Drosophila melanogaster: one gene and its partners. The protein of the gene in region 4 interacts with the protein of the main gene of each other region in a pairwise test. Each region holds a gene or a part of one and is shown on either strand. Other genes may lie near its edges. The genes, in order: CG42674, nau, chn and RecQ4.

Evidence for each region.
Region 1: the proteins of RecQ4 (region 4) and CG42674 interact in a two-hybrid assay, tested with the Drosophila melanogaster proteins (one large-scale study listed by BioGRID).
Region 2: the proteins of RecQ4 (region 4) and nau interact in a two-hybrid assay, tested with the Drosophila melanogaster proteins (one large-scale study listed by BioGRID).
Region 3: the proteins of RecQ4 (region 4) and chn interact in a two-hybrid assay, tested with the Drosophila melanogaster proteins (one large-scale study listed by BioGRID).

What each region holds. Positions count from the first base shown.
Region 1 is NT_037436.4:20,195,297-20,200,003, reverse strand, and holds the start of CG42674 (uncharacterized protein), read left to right. Parts: upstream 1-1,686; 5' UTR 1,687-2,522; intron 2,523-4,707.
Region 2 is NT_033777.3:23,712,345-23,720,376, forward strand, and holds nau (nautilus), read right to left. Parts: upstream 6,014-8,032; 5' UTR 5,613-6,013; coding exon 5,085-5,612; intron 4,280-5,084; coding exon 4,157-4,279; intron 4,094-4,156; coding exon 4,019-4,093; intron 970-4,018; exon of another isoform or gene 931-969; coding exon 852-930; exon of another isoform or gene 796-851; coding exon 602-795; 3' UTR 470-601; downstream 1-469. Other genes in the region: CG10300 (uncharacterized protein), read left to right, coding at 1-122, 192-452; CG10232 (uncharacterized protein), read right to left, coding at 7,132-7,531, 7,596-8,032. UniProt on the Drosophila melanogaster protein: May play an important role in the early development of muscle.
Region 3 is NT_033778.4:15,113,569-15,118,466, reverse strand, and holds the start of chn (charlatan), read right to left. Parts: upstream 3,007-4,898; 5' UTR 2,779-3,006; intron 1-2,778. UniProt on the Drosophila melanogaster protein: Probable transcription factor involved in the development of the adult pattern of macrochaetae. Required for accumulation of achaete (ac) and scute (sc) in proneural clusters.
Region 4 is NT_037436.4:8,170,140-8,177,689, reverse strand, and holds RecQ4 (RecQ4 helicase), read left to right. Parts: upstream 1-1,711; 5' UTR 1,712-1,833; coding exon 1,834-1,935; intron 1,936-1,988; coding exon 1,989-5,158; intron 5,159-5,221; coding exon 5,222-5,962; intron 5,963-6,024; coding exon 6,025-6,200; intron 6,201-6,259; coding exon 6,260-6,576; intron 6,577-6,637; coding exon 6,638-6,871; 3' UTR 6,872-7,050; downstream 7,051-7,550. Other genes in the region: Nmt (N-myristoyl transferase), read left to right, coding at 51-1,264.

The DNA of each region.
Region 1 (4,707 bases), about 12 Mb from region 4:
TACAACAGATACAGAAGACGGTGGATAAGATAGCAAGCGTTATTTGGTTTTTGCCTAAAAGTTAGCTATATATTTCGCAAGATTCGGTAAAAGCTCGATTTGTGTAATTTAACAGTAAAGAAATATATTTTAAGACTTCCATTACCGAATTATGCTGCTCCGCCTAATTTATAAGACTTCAATCCGAATCCGCACAAAAACTGTATTTATAAGATACAAAGTGTTAACACATAGTAAAAATTGGTAAATAATAAATTCTCATTAAAAATTCAACTTTCGGAGCTTTTATATAACTGTTGGTATTTGCCAAACGTGGACTTATCCAAAGCTATGAAACTTATAACATCAATAACTTCTATTAATCTATTTAAAAATTATGATTCAACCTTCTAACCCTTTTGAAATAAGATCATATAATAATTCAAAATATAAGGTAGGTCAAGGCAATAGATTGCCGTATCGTTTTTCGGGCTGAACTTTATTTAAAAACTCATAGATGATGTCATCCAATCGGCATACGAACTTTGAAAGATTGTCCCTGATCTCGTCGCCCGTTGATCCGTTCGTTCATTCATAAATTATCCAAAACCATGTTGTTCAGCTTGATTATGTTGCAAATACACATATGTACACTGTATGTACATTCATATGTACATATGTATGTGTTCGGTGCTCATAAACGTTTGTGCGATATGTTTGTCTAATTTAAATTTAGCTTCTAAGGCGGTCGGGCTCAATTAGGGCTGCTTTTTGGCTTGAAGCTAATCGACGTGCCGTCCAGTAATTAATTCAGACAAACTCGTTGGTTGGAGTCGCGTGACTCATTATAAATCGCAAAATGGCAAAGTGAAAAAATCTTTTTGGGGTTCTGGGCAAAGTAAATTCAGGAAAGTTTTTTAGGGATATACATGTGTGTGTTTGTGCTTAATTTAACATTTAAAATGCAAACAAACTGCGCTAATCAGCTCAATCGATGAGATCGATGCCCTGGTTAATAAAGAAATTGTTGTTTGGTGAAATGATTGATTTATGGTATAAATGTTAATTAGTTACAAGGCCTCCGCTTGCCTATTTAGCCTTGAACTTTGCACATAACTGAAGATACATATATACATACATATGTACATATGTATGCGAATTTATGAGGGATGACCTCAATTATCTTTGAGCCGGAAGATAAACATTTAGAACCTTGAACTTGCTAAAGGTAGTACTATTAGCCTAGAAATTTTACGACATTCAATCTTTGGTTTTAAAGCATTTCGGAAGATTACAATGCAATTGCATTGATTGTAATCCACAACAACACTTCTTGCTTTCAAGCTAACGGCGCAAATTTAAATTTCCATTTCAGTCCAACTTCGTTTCTGATGTGTCACTCTCTTCCGGCTCTTAATTTAGTCTTGAGTCTTAAACGATTGCTTAATTTATTTCTAAGTTCGTAAAGACATCTGTTAATTATTATTAAGGTAGCACACTACTGATACCCTTTAATAGCTGTTAATAGCTTATTTTTGATACTCTGCCTGCAGCACGAGTATCAGCTGATGGTGCGCGGCAACATACACACACACACGCACGCACGAAGTTGAAGAGAGCGGTTAGGTGAACTAACTTAGTTCCTCTCTTTCCCGCTCTCTTTGCGCCAACGAGATTAAGCTTTTTGTACCGGCGATCGCTTCAGCTTTTTCAGTTGAAAACAAGTCACCCGCGAGCGGTGTTCTTTTTGCGCGCCGTTCTGCGAATAGTTTTATTTTGATTTTAGCCCAACTTAATTCGTTCCATGCGACTTTTCCTTTTCGCGAGCGGTAGTGACGTCGCCGTTTTTTGGACAATTGCGCACATATTAAAATCGCGAAGAAATAGGGGTTGTTGTTATTGTTGTTTGGCCGGAGACACGCGTCGCTTTTCCGCGTGTCTTTTATTTTTGTGGATCAGCGGCCACCTGAAAGGCGCCATTTGAAAAGCCAACAGCTGTGAGGCAAAAAAAAAACAAATATATGCATATACGTACATATATATTCAAGTGCAAAAAGCTGGCGTTGCTAATAGAAATAAATAAATATAAAAGGCAGAATAAACGTGCAAAGCGGTGCGTAAGTGTGTGTGTTTTATGTATTGCGCAAGCAAAAGAGAGCGCGTTCTGTGTGTGTGCGTGCGTACCTGAAAATATACATATAACTTAACTTGATTATTTTCAGTTTTGTTAGCAACAACAACAAAGAAACCGCTCGCTGAATAAGTCTAATTTGAAGTGCATTTCCTTTGTGATTGAAAAGATCGCTCCAAACTCCAAAAATCGAAATCGAGCAAGGCCATACGTATATATACTGATATATACGCATATATACACATTTATTCGTGTGGATTCAGAGCGCAAGCGTCGCGTCGCCATGCAAATGTTAATGAAAAACACAAACCCCTAAAAATCGACTTATCAGCTTAAAAAACATCACTAGATTGTCACTCAAAATAAAACACTATTAAAAAACCAACAAATCAGCAAAGAGCAAGGAAATCAGGCAAGTTCCTTAAAAATAATGCAGTTTATACGTACATATGTAAATATAGCGAAGAGCGACCTTCGTCACGAAACTAATTTAACTTAAAAACTGATAAGACCACTTGATTCGCCAACTCTTCCTCTTCGCGATTCGCCCTCTCCTTCTCGCGCAGTATCAGCTGCGATCCAAAACAGTGGACGGGGACGTTCCGACATTGCATACCCTGCAGTAAGCTATAAACTTCCTGCAGACTTGCTTTAAATGTATTGCTAAAGTGATACTCTTAATTCGGGAATTCTTGATTTTGTTGGTGTCCACTATCAACACCCTTTTTTTTTTTCTTATAATTGTTTGCTAACTGCTAATTATGAATCGACCGGAAACGAACCATCAGAAACATACAATAAAGAATTTATGTTGGTTTTTATAAAAGTGGTTATTCTTTTGCTTACTGTTTAGTTCCGATTCTATACAACCTTTTAAATAACATTATTATGACACTCCTCTTTGTATTTATGTTTTCATAAGCAAAGGTGCGATTCAGTCTAAAGGTGTTCCCATTTTCAATTTTCTTTAAAATTGTTTGTTATAGGTAGTGTGTGTGCTATGTTTCACAAAAGTAGCCAAATACATTTTTTGACGAATTTGTGAAGTTAATGGATTTAAACGACGTGCAAGCTCAAACCTGTCGAATTGCACGGCAACTTTCCAAAGTTCATGTTACTAAACTTTCGAGAAAGGACATTTGAATTAAAATGTTTTATCTTTGGGCCTAGTAATTACAAGTTATACATATATATTTAACGCATTCTGTACAGACCGCTTTTGTGAAAAGAGCTCTTTCTGCGAATCATTCATTTTATCATTCGTATGTACAGTTGTGTTGTTGAGATACCATTCGAACTAACCTAGTACACCTAATACACACTCTATGTCTGTCAGATAAAGAGCTGTACACGTGCTGGAGATGGCATATCTGTCGTTATCAAAGGCGGCTAATCTAACGAGTACGTGCGGAGGCTACGAGCTTCGCTTGGATTTATGTAACATTCAAAGATCCAAAATCAGGGGGCTGGGGACAGTTTTCACTATCCAGCTTTCGTTATCAAATGGTGCTGCACAATGCACCGAGAAATATTTTGTACTCATCCATTTGGTGGCGTAATTGGCTTTGGGGCCGAACCACTCGGTTCGATTCGTTTCACAACCGGTTTGGGTTCCTGCAGTTAACACTCATCTCAAACTGAAAGCGGCATCGGGGGTACACCTCACAGGAACTCCATGCACCCAGCCATCAATCACCTATACAGTCTAGCTTTTATAACTCGAACCAAACTGAAGCTTGAGTGGTTTGTCGAAGATCTTGAGTCCACAGAATCGCTTTACAGGAAGATATCAGGAAATTCCAAAAGCTAGAGAACATTGTCATTCATCATTCCACCAAATAAAATGTATTTCATATTTTTCGATAGTTCAAGCTAGGGAAGCTTGCCTGTACGCGTATGTGCACTCGGACAACAATGCGTTGTCAATGAAAGCCGCAAACTGGTTTTGGCCTAGGAGAAGCAACGCAAACGGTAGTGCAAAGTTTGCTAAGGAAAACGATGTGATCTCGAGCAACATATACCCAGAGTGTCTTAGGTATCGCGGTATTAATTACCATAGTAAACAAAAAGAATCGCGCCAGAAGGGCACCCAAAATAATATTTACAAATTTTGTTTTCAGCTACATGATAACTTAACGCGTTGCTCACTATTCAATTTCAGGCAGCTCATGTATAACCGAATAATAATAATAACATATAATGTTACCTTACCATCACGTGTTCAGCAAAGTTGCTTAGGCAAAGCAATAATTATGTTGATTCTGTTGCTAAAATGATATAATTGGTTATTCATAATGGTTGTATGACAATTATCTGCACTTTCGAGTACCATCTTTTTCCAAGTGCCACCAAGTGTGTGCAACTCTCTCGTTCCGCTATCATATCAATTGTTTGCAAGGTAAATTTGATCAGTCAATTGAAAAGTTGAGTCTGCACTCATAATGGGGTTTGGTCCACCCCGAGGTGGACTCTTCGCACCGCAGCGATTGGCATGTGGTAACGCAATACTCGATCGGAGAGACAAATAACTCGAACTAGCGTCGAACGAGAATCAATACCAAGTGAATCATAGCATCAAATCTGGTTAGTGCTCCTCC
Region 2 (8,032 bases), on a different chromosome or scaffold from region 4:
CTCTGGTGGACCAATGCATACCACTGCGATTTGTTGAGATTCATATGATCAATATGCGCAAGGAGGGACAAACCATATTCAATTTTGTAACGAAGTTTTTGCCCTCCAAACTGCCTTTCAAGGTGAATCTATCATCAAAAAGCTTGAATTGCGTTAGGATTGGTAATTAATCTCTACAATATTCTACACAGTTCGTGGTCCACAAAAAGTCGGAGGATCTGTACCAGCACCTGCCCAGAGATGTGATGACCATCGAGTATGGTGGCACCAATGGCTATCAGGCAGAGGCAGTGGATCATTGGCGCCAGAAGCTGCTGGACAGCAAGGATTATCTGGCCAAGGATGCCCAGTATGGTACTAATGAGAAACTGCGCGTCGGATTGGCCAGTGCCTGGGCCAATGGAGAACTGGACGGGATGAGCGGTTCCTTCCGCAAATTGGAGCTAGATTAAGTAAGACGACTCTAGTTGCTGTTTTGAATTACCATTTAATTAAGTTCTAATGCTATACAAATAATTTAAGGCCTATTCGGGTCACTGGGTATCTCGTGTATCCTCTTAAAAATAGCTTTACAATTGCCTAAGGTGCTGATACTTAAGTGCTAAGTGCTGCACTTCCGTTTGAAGTTCACGTGCAGAGAAGTGGGTGCAGTTGCTCCGGATGAGGGCGGCGATTGGGTATCTGAAGCGGAGGGCGTGGCCTTATTTTGAATGGGACTCGTGGTGCTCTTATTGATGCTCTGAACAATCAGATTTAGACAGTCCAAACTGGAGCCATTGGCATTGCCATCAAAGTCTATACAAAAATATTTTAGATAAATACATCAAATACTTTTTTTTTTTTACTTTTACCTGTAAACTGACCATATTTCTCCATATGTTTGTTGTAAAAACTAAGTTTATCTTCTAGATAAGCGCCAGCATAGGAGCTCTGCAAGGAAAAACATAAATAAATACAAATGGAAAAATCATATATTTTTTTTTTAGTTGGCCTCAAGCGAAATTGGGGAAACAATAAATTACAGAAAAGTGTCGCCGTCGAAATGACAACGTCAAATTTGCTCCGGTCCTGTCAACTTGGCCAACGAGTGCCATACAGAATGCAGTCTAATGATGAGATTAAGCCAAAATTTATGCCAGTAAAGAGATTCCACAGGCCAATTAAAACGCATTGAACCACCGCACCACACCCATTGTCTGCCCCAACATTGTGGGGCATTGTGTGCAGTGCACTTTAGAGGCAATTAAATTAATTTTGCGCATACGCAGACGACAGACAAGGCATCCGGAGATTCGGTCGGGATTTCATTAGAAAAATTCGCTATAACGCCGATGCTAAGCAAATTATAATTGCCACTTCTGGGTGGGTTTCCTTGCTGCCCCCCCCCCCCCCCCAAATCCGCATCTGGTGCATCCAAAGTGCCGTCACTTCGTCTGCAAGGATCGACAAATACAGGGCATCCCGTATGGCTTATATGTATGTACGTCTGTTTATATTTAGCGGACAACAAAGTACGGAGTGATAAAACAACAGAATAGCATTCAAAGCCGAGTGAAGTGAACTAAACTGAACGAGAGCAGATGAACTCACACTGCACTTTTATAAAGCGATTTATCATTTTTTTCAAGCGTTTAGTGACAGCCTGCGCTCGATATGCCGCAGTCAGCAAGCGGATACACTGGGAAAAATTACACAAAAATAGCACAACTGGGTTAAAAGCAATAAAGTCTATTTATATGACAATATAATACCGAATATTGAAAAATTTCTTTGGAAATAAATTCTCAATTTAACAAGCATGTTCGAAATATATTTTTAGACATGCCCGACTTCTTTCTGTGTACTTGTTTGCAGGTCTTTATGGTATTTCGGTGTATTTTATTTTATTTTTTTTTTTTTGAGCATATATCATGCGTTGTATCTGAATGAAATGCCACTTATCACTTGGGCATTCCGATTCTTCGGTTGCGTAAAGATTTTAAGCCGCTTTTTGGCGCGTTCCCCTTAGATGTTCTCCTCCGATCTGTGAGCGTGTAACGGATATGCGGCATTATGCGATTTGTTAGCCATAAGTTGCATGAGTTTTTACCATGAAATATGCTTTTAATATACTAAACCCACTTTAAAAATATTGCCACTTCTCTGCGAGTTGTGCGGTCAGTCGTAAGATCTCATAATCCATTTCGGAAATATCACCGAAAAAATGCAAGAACTACTTGCCAGATATGTATTTACATTTTTAATAAGATGCAAATAATGTTGATGTTTATTTTCGGAATTATTTAATCAATCTTTCTCGGAAACTGAAAAAGTTACTTTTTGAAACGGGGACGTGTGATAAAGATTATCAGTGGTGGTTAGACCATAAAAATCACACCAATTATCTCTTCTCAATAATTTGCAATATCATTTATAAACTGCTTTCCATTCGTAGAAAATATCTAATAGTGTAGCTGTAAAGCTATTCAAAGATAACAAAAGTTTTCGGTAGCATATCTGTACCTGATAATAGTTTAAAAACTGAATGGTAGGGAATCCGATCAATCCTGACTCACTGTCCAAATGGATGGTTTGCACCCACGTTACCCACATCTTTCCGTGAGTCATTTGCACCGAAAAGCTCTATCTTAAGACTTCAATGATTGCGGCTATGTATTTCATTACGTAGAAATTTGACTGATATAGACAAGGTGGCACTTTTGTATATCGCAAGTACTACACTTTATTGGCGGCGATAAGGAAATTTATGGGCCAACTTAGCGTTCGCATTTCGTGTTGGAAACAGTTCAAAAGGAAATCTTTTACTTAAGTCGCCGAGGTTTATAAATACACGGGCTCCAAATGAATGGATATGGATGAGATGGATGGATTGCCAGGGTCTGAGATGCATTTGAATGTCTGCACGTTTGGCGCTATGCCAGTTTTTAATCAAACTATGGCCGCACATTAATATCTGCCAATGGGGGGCGCAGTCAACATACAAATACGCTAAGTTTTATGGTAAATTAACAAATTTGTACATTAAAATTGTGAGAAACTTAAACAAACTGCATGGAAATTACTCAGCGCAGGCCAACCCGAAAGTCAAATGAAAATGAAAAGAAAAGAGGGCGTTGAAGATGATGGCAAAAATGTTTGCATAATTGTTGACAATTTGTTGCCCTGTCATTCGGGAGTAGATATGCATGTACAACCCGCTCCCGTCCCCCCCCCCCCATTTTTCATTCATTTTCATTTCCCTTCAATGACCAACGACTTGGCCATATCTTGCAACACCTTTCGAAGAAGAACACCCCGAGATCTTGTCATGTTTTTCCTGTGCAATTTGTCAACTGCCACAACGGTTTTGGTTCCACGTCGCAGGGAAGCTATTATGAAACAGAAAAGCGATCGTCGCAATCCACCAAACATGGGGATGAAGATTCTGGTGCCGATTCCTGCTCCAACGAATTTGTTGTAATTAATTTACAACACGATTTCCATTCGGGCTTATAAAAAGAAAATTTATTTATTGCCTTTCACTAAATGCAGACAACGACCCTTTCCCCTGTAAATTCTCCTAAATTCTCCAGCTATTTTTCCTCTAAATTTTTTTTCCCCCGTTCCTTTGATAAAAGTTTGCTCCCCTCACATCTGGGCAAACTTTCTCGATCATAACTCATAATATTCCCGGTTTTCGAGTGAATGTGATTCAGAAATGTGGATGATGGGCTGCCGGCGTAGCTTATTAAGTAGCACGTCAGCGAGCGCATAAATTCCGGTCAGCAGATACAACAGATATCAGATACAGTTTGGGGACTGACTCTTTCGGGGATCCGTCCGTATACATATTCTATTTTCATGTTCGCCATTGCGACGGACCAGACCCTGAGATTTTGATGAATGTGCGCGTCGCCAAAGAAAAATGTACGAAAGCGCTGCTCATGCATGAGAATTTTACGAGAAAATAATTGCGGAACGATATACGCGCCGATATTGTGGGCTTAATATTAATTGGCGGTTAGTGGACAAAACTTACCAGATAATCGGACTGGCAGCTTTTGCCGCTCAAACTGGGCGCCAGGTTGTCGCCATCGCGTGTGGTACTGGATTCCTAAGATAATCAATTTAACCAATGGTATTCTCTATTCGCGGTGAGATGAGTTCACTCATTTACCTGTAGCAGATCCTCCAGGCTCTCGATATACTCGATGGCATTGCGCAATATCTCAACCTTCGGCAGGCGCTGGTTGGGATTGGATGAAGTGCGTCGCTTGAGGATCTCGAAGGCCTCGTTAACCTAGAATGTGAACGGAATAATAATCAATTAATGGCCATCGTTGAAATCATGGAAATCCATTAGGCGTGCCATAAAAACACAGAACACGCGGCGTGTTCCCCTTTTAAGTGGCTCTTTAATAAAACATATTTTAAATTAAATAGAGCATAAAATTTTCAACAATTAAGCCGTTCGCCCGTCGTCTGTCTCTTTATGACAGCCCCCCATCACCATACCCCTTCTAACCGGAGCTCCCACGATTTTCCGCCTTTCACTAATGTCTCTATGTGGAGCTATAAATACGTGTGGTTCATCCAAAACTTTTACGACCGTCGAACTCATAAATGCCGCTGTTTAACTCTTGGTCTTGGCAAATGTTTATGTTTTACGCATGTTGGGTGGTTTCCCTTTCTGCGCGTTATGTCAATGGATCCGATCCTCCCTGGTGGCGATGTGTTAATTTGTGGGGTGCTAGCCGAGCTAATGAAATTACTACAAAGTTGCAGTCCTTAAACGCAGGGGACTTGCGAACTGTGGCGTAATCTATTTTTAAGATCGACCGAGGATTAATAAGCCTGCTGATGGAAAAGGACTCTTGAACAGAGTTCTGAGTGGTATGCCTATATTCAAGTCCCCATAAGCAGTTTTAAGTTATTATTATAATAATGAATTGAATGAATCAAAAATCTACTTTTAAAGTGAACCATTCTTTTAATGAATGATTGAAAGATGAAAGTGCTGTATTTGTATCAGTAGTTATTGCACAATATGTTTTTAATATTTGATAAATCTGAAAATGTGTGTAATGTGAGCATGGGATGCCTACCTTTCGCAGTCTCCGGCGTTCCCTCATAGTGGCCGCTTTCCGACGGTCCACGGTGACGCTCTTCTTTTTGCACGCCTTGCAGGCCCAGGTGAGGCATGGTCTGGAGGATTGGGCGGAGGAGCAGACGAGGGGCGCCAGGACGTGCTCCTCGGAGCTGAGACTGCTGTTCTCGTCATCGTAGTCGGTGGTGTAGATGGGCGACGGTGTCATATTCATGCCCAATGGCTTGTCCAGCTCAACCGGATTATGATTCGCATGACTGTAGTTGCAAGACGAACCCGATCCGTTGGCTGAGATGGAAGCCGCTCCACCATTTCCCGCACTCGCATCACCGACGGCATTGAAGCGGCTAAAGAAATTCTGCAGTGTCTGGTGTGGATTCTGGCCGGGATGGGCTATCGGATTCTGTTGGCTATAGGCGCTAAATCCGTATCCAGGATGTGTCGGCTGACCATAGCCATTGTGGTACTCCTGCTTGATGGTTTGAGCCGCAGGCATTTCACTGCTGCCACTATTATACTTGGTCATTTTTCACTTCACTACGATTTTGTTATATTTTACAAAACAATTTTGGTAGTTCAACAAGTTGCTGAATTTAATTGCTGATACTAATTACGATGGCACAGTTAATTTAGTCAGTTGATTATTACCATTTTTAACGTGGTTTAAGCTCTTTTTCTAGGTATGCTAGGTCATTAACACAAATTTATGAGTTATGGTTACACACAAGTTTTAGGCTGTGGTTTCTATTTAATTTAATTTGTTATAGTTTCACTTTCGGGATTTTTAAAATAGAACCTTAATTAGTTGGTTACACTTTAATGATGCTTTGTAAAAACCTCCGACATTTTCAAAAATATTTTTCGACTTCGATTTGCGGACCGTACGCGAGTGTGTGTACCGCCTTCCGTCGCAATCGCAACACATTTGGTGACAATATCCAAGAATCCAAGATATCGTGGGCCCCCAGATGTGCTCGCGATCCTCTCGGAGTGCGGATGCTGCTGCGTTTTGAGTGGCTGAGTGGCTCTCGAGTGGTTCCTATTTTTAGAGGCGCCCCGCCATTAGACGACATTGGCGGTTCTCTAAGGCAGAAGGACGCTGCCGCAGGCCACGCCCCTCCCCTTTTTTTTTTAATTTTCGTGAGTTTTCAACGCGATTTTCCGCTCAATGTGAAGCGTGTTTGTGAAAGGCTTAGTTCAAATCAAATAAATTGAATTTTACCTGGCCAGCGATTAGTGTGGGTTGGTGGGGGAGGTGGTGGCATAAATTAGCTTTCGGGGAGCTCAACAATTCGTTAATGTGACACATTTAGTGGAAAATCCGGCCCCCCGTCCACAGATCCCATCAATGGCAGCCACTTTTCTATTGAGTTATAGTTGCAACGGCCGAGAAAAAAGCGAGAAATTGAGCAAAAAAATAAATAAAATAGGAGAGGCCGAAATAAAAATAGTCAAAGAATTGTGTTTATTTATCGCTGCTCAGGCACAATATATATCTTTGGAAATCACCTTTAAATCTTCCCCAGCGATATTGTAAATCTTTTGTCTTAGGACCGTGGTTTGCTCGAGCACTTTCCATCTTCATTTTTCCACTTTTCCCTTCTCGTCTTTTTCCATTTCGTATTTTCTCCTCACATTTTCCATCTTGCCGTACTTTGATGGATGCTTTGTTTTGATTCGGTCTGATGGTATTTTGGTGGCAAAGACTATTTGTTGTGCCACACGATAATCCCAATTGTAAATTTAATCATTATCGGCCTTTGTTTTCGGGCAGTGTACTGTCAACGCACAAATGTAACTCAGAAAAGAACGTTTAAAAAATCAAAATCATTAAGTAAATTCGATTTATTGTGTTATTAATTTAATCAAATAAATAAAATACATATTAAAACTCATTCTTATGTGCATATTTGATTTTACTGGCTACTTGATTGAATTTTCCATAATTCCATAATCCACAAAAAAAACACATTCACTCATACAAACAAAATGCATTCACATATTAACAAACACCATACACTAGTCGAGATTCCTTAGCAAGAAAGTTATGGCTTCAAATTTGCCTTTATCCATGAGAAAAATGCTCCAGTCTTTGTGTAAACACCTGGTTTTCTATCTCCGCAATTCTCACTTCCATATGAAACGATACCGGCCAGATATACGATATCCTGGTAATCATTATTAAGGGTTAACATCAAGGGACCTCCGGAATCACCCTCACAGGAGTCTTCTCCTCGAATGCCAGAAGCACAGATTTGTGATTCGTTGCGGAAGAACGATATCTTGTCTTGGCAATAATATCTGTTTTCATAAACGGTGTTATGCAACAACACCTGACTATATTCTCTGTTTTTCGTGTAGCCCCAACCGGCGATTTGCAATGGGTGATTATGCAAGGGGATGGGATCTTTCGGCACACAAATCGGTAGAATTTCGTGGGTATATCTAAGGAAATAAAAACTTTGGTTCATAATAGTCAGAAAATGATGCCTTATATTGCAATACTCACCGAACTGGCGTTTGAAGACGCACCAAGGCGATATCGCTTTCAAACCTTGAGGTGTTGAAATATTGTTCGTGGACATTGAAATACTCGATGCCGATCTCTACAAAGGGGGCAGCGCAGTTTCCTGTAAAGTCGCAATCCGGATTGGTGGTAATATCATGCTCGCCCAGCCGCACTCTCCTGAGCACCAAATCTGTGTTCACCATTTTATCCTTGACCACACAGTGTGCAGCGGTGAGGACGTAGCGTTTGTTAATCAGGGAGCCACTACAGTTGTTGGTCATGGTCGATAGTCTGCGATTCTCGTAGATAAGCATGGCCATCCAAGGATATTCATTTGGCCTCGCCGCTGTGCCATATGCCATTCGATAAAGAGGCGGAGCTTGTCCACAGGACGTTGGTAGAACGTTACCTGGTTCCGGGCAGCAGATGTAGTGGCG
Region 3 (4,898 bases), on a different chromosome or scaffold from region 4:
ACCGTAGGGTAACTGCAAACAGGTTAACCCTCGAAATGGAGCAGCCTGAGCACCCTACTTTGCCTTCATTGCCACTCAAGTGGAAGTGGCCGGCCAAGGAGATGATGATGATGGTGGTGATGGAAATGGAGATGATGATGATCGCGGATAAAGGAGCTGCCTGGTGACTGGAACCGGTTCGTGAGCAGCCGTCAGTGGACAACATGTGGGCCACCTCGAATCCCCCTGAGAGGTTCTTTCGGAGGCAGTGCTCACTGGGCCTGGGTGGACCCGTTAGTCCATCCTTGGCCCGGTGCAAGCTGTGATATAACCAACGATCCCCGTAATGAGCCTGACCAATTACAGCAGCACATGGCTTCCTACGGCCAGCAAAACCTGTTGCCCCTGAAGACGAAGCCCTTCTTCGGTTTTGCAGTTGGGAGAAAGTCTCCTCGCTGGAATAGGGCTTCCCATTTTGGGCGCCACTTGTGAAGAGGAAATCTGCCTGGCACTTCTCAAAGGGGTCGAAACTCTTGCACTTTGTCACGTCTCATTTAACTTGGGAACCCCGGGGGTGGTTGTGCGATCACTGGTTCCCACTGTATAGTTCGCTCCAACCCTTTATATACGTACACTATCTCACATCCAACATGCACAGAGAAAAAAGAGGGGACATTATTGGTACAAATTTGCATACTGTCTATGTAGGCATTTGTTATAATACGTTGCCTATATGTTGTTATATCCCGTTGATATAGGATTCAAACAATGAAAATGTAGTACTAGTTGTGACTTCCTATAGATCAAGTGAGTTCTAACATAATTTCAAAGAGCAAATCTTTAGATTTCCGTAAATGTTTTTCCTATGTGGAGACACCCCTTGACGAGTGGGCGTGGGACACGGCCACGCATGCGCAACTCCCTCCGAACTCCCAACTCGAATCCACTTTGTCTGAGTGGGTGGGTAGTGTGTGTGTGTGTGTGTGCGTTTTCGAGACTGGGTTTGTTTTGAGCATTGGGTTGGGTACAGTCTCCGCTTGGCTTGCCTTGCGGTCGGGTGAGTCACTGGGTCTTGGCCCCTGGGTGATTTTTTCAATCATCATCATCAGCGTGGGGAGTGTGAATGAAATGAAGTCAACAGGAAATAGTCAGTTTGCGGCTAAGAATAAAATCAAATGATCGCTACGCTTTTTTCATGTTATGTAGTGACTACCAAAGAATCAAGTTCAAAAAGTACATAAGGTTCTTTTGGAAATAAAAGAAAGTGATCGCTAATATAATGATTTCCAATTTTAGTCAAAGTTTTCAACAATGCTGTCATGTATTGTTGGGTTAACGAACTCACTTAGTTGTTATTGCTTAACGAACTTGCTTAACTTTGTCTTATAGTCTGCTTCCGTTTTCCACCCCTTTACTTTCCAATCTAAAGGAATATGCGTTGCATTCTAGGCATTTTCCAGTGCTTGGCTTCGTTTAACTCGAGCTTAAAATCAATTTTTGTCGACGAGTAAAAAGCAATTAAGCTGTCAGTCTATGTAAGCAGCTTCAAAAACACAACTAATTTCTATATATAATCCATGGAGACGCCATGAAACGAAATTCCGTTGCCGGTATCCCCCTACCCCGTACATAGTATTTATTTATATAGGCATAATCCCGGGCAAGTGCAATTCGACTGCATACAAATTGCATTTTCCATATAATATATAAATGTATAAAATATGTGCGTGGGAATATAATCTTATATATATAAATATATATATAAAGCACTCGAATGCAGTTATTTGCATTCTGCAGCAGACATTGCCACCCACAAATTTTCACCATATTGCCCATGGCAACAAAAAACCACACATTTTTAGTTTTCATTTGAAAACACCATGCCACAAACGGAATTCGTCAAAGGCAAAATAATCAAATACAAATTATATAACTCCTACATACATATGCATACATATGTAGTCGCATATGTTGCATAAAAACCGAAACCCCAAAAAATCATATGCAAAACCCCCCATCGAATCGAAATGAAAATGCATCTCTCTCTTTGGAGAGAGCGCAAGCCTGTGCCGTTATTTTCTATTTTCCCAGAGAGCGCGAGAGTGAACGAACGGAAGTTGAACTCTCGAAAGTGCAACACAATTCCTTTGCACTTTTTTGATAAGGGGTGTGGGTCGCTTTTTGGGGTGGTGGGTAGGTGGGTGGGGTGGTTGAATATAACAAAAATTGTTATAGACACAAAATTTATGATGTGCTCCGGCTGTGAAAAACAACCACCCACCCAGGAGCGAGAAACTAAGGGGGTTACGATAGGTGGGTGCGGGGGGATGGGGGCGGCAGTTAGTTTTCAAATGCCAAAACAGTTGAGCTATTGTCGCGAGAGCGGGATAGTAATACCCTTCAAAGCCATAACGAGAGCGAGAAAGAGGGTGGGTTGTGCATTGTTTGGGGGTTGCTATACCGTTGCATAGAGCGCCTGCTCCAATCCACACACCAATACCATTTGTTTTTATTCCACTGTGTGCGTGTGTGTGTTTGTGTGAAGTATTGATGAAGGAAAAATAGAAGTTGGCGCTTTTTAGTTGGGGGTTGCTGCCCCCAGTGGGATGTTTCTCTGGAAAAAGTGCATACCGAAAAAGATACGCACACACACACACAAACGCATTGCGGAAAAATCAATAAATCACTTGGCTTGGAAAATAGATATGGAAAGGCCCCCCCTCCCAGGAAAATCAATTAATAGATACTCCATGCTACTCTGATCCGATTTGTTTTAAAATATTTTATTCACCAACTTACCAACATGTTAGCGGAGGTTTTGCAGCCAGCCCCGGAGTATGCAACACTTTTTCGCCTCTTTTCGCGCGGCACACTGTTTAGTAGGTTTGTGTTTCTCCTTTGCAGCTGGAAATTAATTTACTTCACTGATTTGTTAAATGATTTCCTTGATGCACTTTTCGGTTTTCCGACTTAACGAGAACGGACCGCGTTTCACAACTAACCTCATCAACACTCACACACCGAATGAGATTTCGTGACTGAATGAATATGAATGGTCGCGGAGGAGCGGATCCTACGGCGATTCTCCGCCACCCACTCTTTTGGGGTGGCTGATGGGTTGGGCGGAAAATTTCCCGTCCCTCCCCCTATTGGGCCAAGTAAATATGTTGTAATATTTAGTTTTGTTTTTGCGTCTGCGATGCGTTGCTTAGTTTGCTGTTGTTGCCGCGCCGATTGCCTGTCGCGTAATAATAATACCTCTCCGACGTTGTGCAATTGTGGGAAAAGCTTCCTGTCTGCGCCGCCCTGCTTCTTCTTCTGACACCCCTCCGCTTTTCCGCTTTCCACAATTGCAAAAAGCGCGCGCATTCCGCAACGCTCACGCTCCCACGCATAACAAGTGGACTCTCCGGCAAAACTTTGTCACTAAGCTAAAAAAACGATTCTAATATATAAATAGACTTATTAATTGACTTAAATTAAGAAAGAGTATATTAAAATAAAAAAATAATTTATTTTTTATTTGTCAGTATCGGGGTATTATCGATAGTCGCGCCGAAAACATCCGAAAACATCGAATTAATTGTATTCAGCGCGGAAAAAAGGCCACAGCAAAAAATCTCTTAAGTTATTTATTTTTTTTAATTATCTGTAAGTATAATAATAGTTGAATTTATTATTTGACTAATTAAACAACAACATATGATTTTTAAAGACCAATTTTCTTATTTGTTAAGCTTTCATTTGTTAAGCTTAAAAGAATTTCCATTACATAGAATGCTATTGAAATTGAATTTCATTTGCAATCCTCCTTAAAAATTACATTTCCGGTTCCATTTTACAATAATTTTACATTACATCATACACGATTACTACCTTCTAATATTAGCTGTGTCACTAACCCATTGCGAACTATTTTGGAGCTGCTTTCCGAATTGCTACACTTGTAGAGTTTAAGTTACCACCTAGAATTCTACATACGGTTATTTGATTAATTTTATTTGATCAATAAACATATTCACTGGATTATAGCCATGTACAATGCTTAGTCATGCCAACTCTGTCAATTTGTAAAATGTTTTTAAAATGCTCACTCGTATTTATAATTTTTTGCCAAAAAGCTGCCAAACAAAAACTGTTTTAATCCTCGATATATAAAATATTATAATCTTGGTTTATTAGTACAATGTACTACTTATTTTAAGAAGGCCAGCAGCTTTGCATAATACATTAATAATAAAATACTAATTAAATAGTACTGACATGATACATTGAAAGAGAACATTGCAGACAAAAAATAGGATTTATTCATCTGTAGGATGACCCACTCCACTTTAAAGGCCAAGAAAAAACATAAAAGGGAATTTCATTAAAACAGATTAGCGTAAGGTGCGCAATCTTTAATTAATTTTCGCGGATTTTATGTTTTTGCCCTAGCCGCAAAACCATTCAGTCGAGTGGCAAAACGATTGCAGGTAAAAAATGGCTACCACTTAGCCATGACGACGTTCATTTTTAGATTTTCGTCATTTTTTCGTCCACTTTTTCCGTCACTTGAGGACAGCAGTTTTTTTTAGCGGCACCCAAGTTTTAATCAAATTGCACATGTGACCACATAGTCAGCCATATAACCCATAGCCCACACCACAGACCCCAAAACTCCTTTGCTAACCTAATTTTACAGTTGCCTCTTCAGCTGCACTCACACACGCAAACAAAAACACACACACACACACACCAAAATACAGGATTTTTCATCTCCATTTTTGAGAATTTTCTGCAACGTCAACTGTCTCGAAAAGTTTTTAATCAACGTCACCAACAACAAGAGCGTTTTTCTTTTTTCTTGCATTTTTCCTACTTAACTGTTTAATTTTTTGTTCGGTTTTTCGTGTTGCCTTTTTTCCACAGATGGCCTC
Region 4 (7,550 bases):
CTAATCGAAAAATGTTATAATACTATTCAACGCATCATCGTTTCTTTCAGGCAAACAGGCCTTGCTACAAGCCGTTTCCGATGCTATGGCCAGCACCCGTCAGATGGCCAAGAAGTTTGCATTTTGGTCCACACAGCCAGTCACCAAGCTGGACGAGCAGGTGACCACCAACGAATGCATTGAACCGAACAAGGAAATTAGTGAGATTAGAGCATTGCCATACACTCTGCCAGGCGGCTTCAAATGGGTGACACTAGACCTGAACGACGCCAATGATCTCAAGGAGCTGTACACGCTGCTCAATGAGAACTATGTGGAGGACGATGATGCCATGTTCCGTTTCGATTACCAACCCGAGTTTCTAAAGTGGTCGCTGCAGCCACCTGGCTGGAAACGCGATTGGCATGTTGGCGTTCGTGTGGAGAAGTCCGGCAAACTGGTTGGCTTCATCTCAGCCATTCCCAGCAAGCTGAAGTCGTACGACAAGGTGCTAAAGGTTGTGGACATCAACTTCCTATGCGTCCACAAGAAGTTGCGCAGCAAACGGGTGGCTCCAGTCCTGATTCGGGAGATAACGCGTCGCGTCAATCTGACGGGGATTTTCCAGGCGGCCTATACAGCTGGAGTTGTGTTGCCCACGCCAGTGGCCACCTGTCGCTATTGGCATCGATCGCTCAATCCCAAGAAGCTGGTAGACGTGCGTTTCTCTCATCTCGCACGTAACATGACCATGCAGCGGACAATGAAGCTGTACAAGCTACCCGATCAGCCCAAGACGAAGGGCTATCGCCGAATCACAGCGAAGGACATGGACAAGGCCCACAAGCTGCTGGAGGACTACCTAAAGCGCTTTCAGCTGAGCCCGGTGTTCAGCAAGGAAGAGTTTCGTCATTGGTTTACCCCCAAAGAAGGTATTATCGATTGCTTCGTGGTTGCCGACGAAAAGGGCAACATCACTGATCTGACTAGCTACTACTGCCTGCCATCGTCCGTGATGCACCATCCGGTGCATAAGACGGTTCGTGCCGCATATTCGTTCTATAATGTGTCTACAAAGACCCCGTGGCTGGACCTGATGAACGATGCACTGATCTCGGCCCGCAATGTCCAGATGGACGTGTACAATGCCCTCGACCTCATGGAGAACAAGAAGTACTTTGCACCGCTAAAATTCGGCGCCGGGGATGGAAACCTGCAGTACTACCTCTACAATTGGCGCTGTCCATCGATGCAGCCGGAGGAGATTGCTCTGATACTCATGTAGTCACCTTGTCACCTAAGCTCACATTCTCGCCCTGCCTTTCACAGCTCCCCTCCTCCGCTTTCTTCACCCTGCTGGAAGTGCCGTGCGGCTGCTTTGCTTTGCTCCTATTTACGTAGCTATTACCTGTAATCTTCAGTTATTCCAGCGAGGAAAGCCCTTTGCGAGCATACACCTAAATAGCATCATTGTGAAAATTGCATTTTGCAACGGCCAAGCTTCGATATTTTTTACTACAAGAACGAACACAAATTGTATAAAATGCGCAGCAATATCAATAAAAATGTAACGTTTACTTGGACCTTTATTGCCTATAATTGACAATAAATTATTTTGCTGCTCTTTTAAAGATGACAAGTTTTTATTTTTTTTAAGCAGATTATTGTATTTTTGCCCACTGTCCCAGCATGTGATAGTCTGGCCACTCTGTCACATGGCCATTGGTCTGGCAAGGTCGGTGAAAAAGCGCGCGCTAAGCAAAACAGCTGCACTTGTGTTGGTTTATTAGTTAACGAAATCTGATTCCAATGTTGGTTTCCTCATAATATTGACAATTAAAGACAGCCGCCGACATGGACGATTCGGTGTTCAAGCTAAAATACCAAAAGTACAAGTTGCGCGTCAAGGTGTGGGAGAAGGACTTCAAGAAGAAGAATGGCCGTGTTCCATCGAAGGTGAGATTGGGATGCGGATATGACAAGTATGCTAACTGGTTGACCTGTTGCAGTATGATATAAGGGACGCCAGTCAGGAGATTCGGGACTCATACAAAATGTACTACAAACTGAAGACATCCTTCCTGGAAGAGACGCTGAACGATGTTCTCAGCGAAGATGGATACGATATTCTGGAGATGTCGCAGGCCAGTGATTTCGGTGTGAGCATGCTGGACCAGGACGTCAGTCTTAATGAAGGTCCTCAGCTACCGTTGGATATATCTGCACTGGTGGGGCCGCAGAGCTCTGGTAATCTTGAGGAAATTCCACAATCGGTGGAGGGCTCATTCTCAAATCTCATCGACCTGCCCAATCGTCAAGTACTCACCAATCTGGTCAATCGCGATGAAAACCATGTCATTCGCAAATTCGAGGCGGTGGAGGAGCTGCCAATCAACCAAAATGCCTGGGGCTTGAATGTGAGTAAGAAGCCACCAGCTCCACCACAGCCTGTAGAGGCCTCCAAATCCGCTCCGGGGCACGGAAAGCAACCCAAAGCGGGCGCTAGTCTTAAGCCCAGCTTGAGTGCCAAGTTATTCCAATCCTCACGCGGTTTTGCTAAACGAAATCCCCGAAAGCCGCTTTCACGTTGTGTCAGTTCCTCTAGTTCCACCACATCACTTAGCTCAGTTCCTACTGATCATCACGAGGAACTGCTCGACTTTGAGACCATACTCATACGCAAAGCCCAGGAGTACAAGGAGAAGCAGCAGGCCATAGCTAACAATCCAATGCTGGCCAGTGAGCACAGCAAGGAAAGTATCAAAACACTGGTGGACGACGGCTGGCTCCGGCGAAATACAAAGGAAAACACTCTTGATGAAGAAGTGCCCTTTGCGGAAGCAAATAATAACAGTGGTACGTCCAAGAAAACAAACTTTGGCCTGGCCAATCTTGATTTAAGTAAACTAAAGCCCACTGTTAAGGAGGAAAAAGTGTTGCAGGCCAAGCCCGATCAAATGGCAATCATACAGGAGCTGCAAACAGATATGAATTCTAGCATGAACCAGAAACCAGATCATCTTAATCACACACCTCCTGCATCCAGTCAAAAATCAGTCGCTCCTAAAAATAAACCTCCACCTTCCGAGCAGGAAACCGATTCGGATTCCGACTCTGTTGTGGCTGAGAGTGAAGAAGAGCAGGAACCACAAGAATATCGGCAACTATCAAAACGTCGCAAAATTGTTTCAACAGCATCAGGAAAAGTGGAAGTAGCCGCCCCAGTTGAAATTCCCAACAAAGTCGAACCAGAGACAGAAACATTTGCTCAAGAGAATCCAGATTTCTCTGCAGATGAAGACCAGGATGCTACATATGTACCAGAGAATAAAAAGAAAGATAAGGCAAAGCGCAAGCAAGCCGCCGGAAAACAAAAGACCACTAAGCCCAAAGCGGAACCAAAACCGAAAACAGAAAAGAAAGCCAAAGTCAAGGCCGAAAAGAAACCCAAGGCGGAGAAAAAGCCGAGGAACTCTAAAAAAGCCATCGCTGTCGAGCCGGCTCCTGATCCAGAAGAGGATGAGCGCCAACCATTGAATCCAGAAGATTTGAAATACGTGTTGGCCTTGGAGGCGGGAGATATTACCTCCGTTCCGCGCATTAATGTGCAGGATCTAGAAGAAGCGGATGCTACCGCCCAGCGCTATATTAGAACCTTCGCCGCTGGACCCAACCCAGGATTGTCGGAAGGGTCCAACATTCGAGTGGATGAAAAGAGAGCCGCAGCACGAAAGAAGCTGGAGGAACGCATAGCAGCTGGTAAATTAAACGAGAACTTTGTGACCATAAATATTCAAAAGAAAAAATTCGTGCGTGGCAAAAAGTCCGTGAACTTCAGCAAGTACAAGAAGCAACAGTGGCGGCATAAGAAACGAGTGGCTGCCTTGAGTGGGCCGGACATGGATATGGGTGGCTGTGATGGCGGAGTGCTCACGTGCTTCCAGTGCGGCGGAGTCGGGCATTTCGCTCAGCAGTGCAAGGTGAAGGGAGACAGCTTGTTGCCACTTTCGGCACAGCTGGAAGAGGATCCCTCGCCGTTTCCCACGCTTGCCGAGGCTCAGGAGATGGCCAGTCAGGGAGCAGTGGTGGCACACAGTCGCAACATCTCACGGCTGCCCCAAGCGGCCAATGCAGCCATCCTGCAAGGCGATGAGTTGAACGAGTCAGAGGAAGATGACCAAGAAAGCAGCGGAGATGAGGAGGTACAGCAGCATCCAGATCCAAATTGGTCTAGCGATGAAATGGACGTTGATTTCGAGGCCCTAGATGCGGCCGTCGAAGCTTCCCTAAGCCAACCGGTTTCGCAAGAGAAAGCAGCTTCACCTATTAAGACATACGTCGGCCACAAGATTCCCGAGGAGTTCCTCAAGCAGGCTGGACTGGACACCACAGCCTCTAGTTCGAATCGCAGCCAGCACGGTGGGGTGAAGCCCCTATACGATCTCCTTCCGGATGGCAGTGTCCAGGACACGACGCCAGAGGTCCTAGAGGCACTCCACATGTTCGGGCACACCAACTTCAGGAAAGGTCAAGATCGCGCCATCATGCGCACTCTCTCTGGACTATCATCGCTAGTTACACTTAGCACGGGCAGCGGCAAATCTTTGTGCTACCAATTGCCCGCCTATTTGTATAGCCGGAAAGTGGGAGCTATTACCCTAGTCATCTCACCATTGGTGTCACTTATGGAGGATCAGGTGACCGGGGTGCCGCACTTTCTGCGAGCTCACTGCCTGCACACTAATCAGACCGCGCCGCAGCGTATGAAGATTCAGCAGATGATTGCCAATGGGGAGATTGACATTCTTCTTGTCTCTCCGGAGGCGGTTGTCGCCGGGGAACGAGCCACAGGATTTGGAGCCATTCTTCGCCAGCTGCCGCCCATTGCATTCGCTTGTATTGATGAGGCGCATTGCGTGTCTCAGTGGAGTCACAACTTTCGACCCAGCTACCTAATGATCTGCAAGGTGCTGAGAAAGAATCTCGGTGTACGCACAGTGCTGGGGCTAACAGCCACGGCAACTTTGCCAACGCGTGTTAGCATTATAAATCACCTTGGCATATCGGATGGAGAACGTGGTATTATAAGCGACATCCCACTGCCTGACAATCTAGTGCTGTCCGTCTCCAAGGATGAGAACCGGGATGCAGCTCTGCTCCAACTGCTCAATAGCGAACGGTAAGACTTGGCCCACCATCTTTGAAACTTGAAGGAGACTTAAATACATTTTGATCATTCTAGCTTCGAGCCCTGCCAGTCCATTATTATCTATTGTACGCGTCGTGACGAGTGTGAGCGTATCGCTGGGTTTATTAGAACGTGCGTGCAAGACCGTAGGGAGCCAACTCAGGATCAGACGAAAAAACGTAAACGTGTGAATTGGCAGGCTGAGCCCTATCACGCTGGAATGCCCGCTTCCAGGCGACGAACCGTTCAGAAGGCCTTCATGAGCAATGAGCTGCGCATTGTGGTGGCCACCATTGCCTTTGGTATGGGCATCAATAAGCCGGACATACGCGCGGTAATCCATTATAATATGCCAAGAAACTTTGAGAGCTATGTGCAGGAAATTGGTCGAGCAGGACGCGACGGGTTGCCTTCCCACTGTCACCTCTTCTTGGATGCGAAGGGTGGCGACCAGAGTGAGCTGCGTCGCCATGTGTATTCTAACTCCATTGATCGGCATGTTATCCGTAAGCTGCTGCAAAAGATCTTTGTGCCATGTAGCTGTGACAAGGAGGCTTCCAAGAGGACAGCTCTTCCGATTCCCCTTGAAGGTGATGGTCCTAGAGTGCATATGTGTCCGGGACACGAGATTGGCTTTTCCGTGGAGAAAACCGTTGAGATGCTGGACATCCCGGCGGAGAACATATCTACTTTGCTCTGCTACATGGAGCTTGATCCCCGATGGTGCATCAGTGTGCTCAGCTCAGCATATGTGATGGCTAAGGTAATCTCGTATGGTGGGCCAAAGTACTTGAAGTAAGTCCTTTAGACACGTGTATTGTGTATGTGTTTAATGTTATTGGTTTTTCCTTGCACAGGCATGCTGCAAAGGAATGTCCACCATTGGCCATGGCTATTGCTTTGCAGATTAGAGATAAGACATTCAAGGAGGACTCTAACATCATAGAATTCTCGGTCACAGATATCGCGGCAGGAATTGGCTGGAACAGTGGTGTGGTCAAATACCAACTGAAGGATCTGGAGTGGGTAAAAGGTGAGATGGTAATCCGTTCAAAAAAGGATCCGTTTAATTAGAAATTAATTTTTCGATAGTAAATGGATATCCCAAGCGATCGCCCATCACGGTGAGCTTCTATGATTTGGGATTCCGCATCAAGGTGCCGGGCGATTTTACCGAATCAGAGATCGACAACGCTCTGGACACTCTCTATACGCGATCCGTGAAACAGGAGCGTACGCAGCTCATCCAGCTGCAATATGTGGCCCATGGATTGGCTGCTGTGGCCTACAGCTCTTGTGGCCAGTGCTGCAATGCGGATTTTCCGCAGGATCGGGGCGAGCAGCTAAAGGCTATCGTGCGCAACTACTTTGCCAATGACTACCCACAGGATCTGGAGCTGGAAATAGAGGTAATTGCTTGGCAACACATTTCAATTTCTTACTTTTATTGCTTTCCTCTCTGTCCATTAGCCAAGTAACGTGCCGGATGAGAACATCATAGACGACGTTCATGCTCTAATAAACATGTACCCGGACAATACATTTACCGGACGTAATATTGCGCGCATCTTTCATGGCATCATGAGCCCGAACTATCCGGCTGTCATCTGGGGACGCTGTAAGTTCTGGCGTGCCCACGTCAAAGTGGATTTCAATCGCATCCTGCACCTGGCCAATATGGCTATTATCAAGAGGCGTACGTGACCGTAATGTCGGGATGAACCGCCGATACCATGGTTAACCAATTAATAGCTCCAAGAATTTTAAAAATATGTGATGCCATTCAATAACATTTTACTCGCACAAGTCTGATAATACAAAAATAAATTACAAATTCTATATAAACAGCTTTTGTACTTATTATGAGTGGAAAGAGAAATTCGTACGGACAATCTAAATTTTTAGCTTGGTTTTTAAACTCTCTAAATCTATGTGTTTCATTAGCTAATAAATTTGCACCATACAATCCCACGCCAATGGAACAATAACAATTTATGATAATTTCATTGCCGAAAACAACAGAGCACTAAAATAAAGTAAACAAATGCCAAGCTCGTTTAGAGGCAAATTGCAGCTACGGCTTCAAATGAAACAGCAGAAATCAATTCGATGGAGCCCGTAAAGAAACAAACATCCGGCTGAGTCATTCCCAATAACATCACGAAATGTATAACCCCGGTCGAAGGTGTCATCTTCAAATCGAAGCCTAGCCAAAGGTCGTCCTTCCTCAGTTCACACGAACGCGAAGCAAACAACCCAACAAATGGGGGGATCTAACAACAACTCAGGGCACAGACAACTGGAAACAGAGAAACATCATTGAAGTTGTCGGATCAGCGAAGCGTTTGATAAAGGTTTTTTATGACTTGGCCATTTTGTGAGG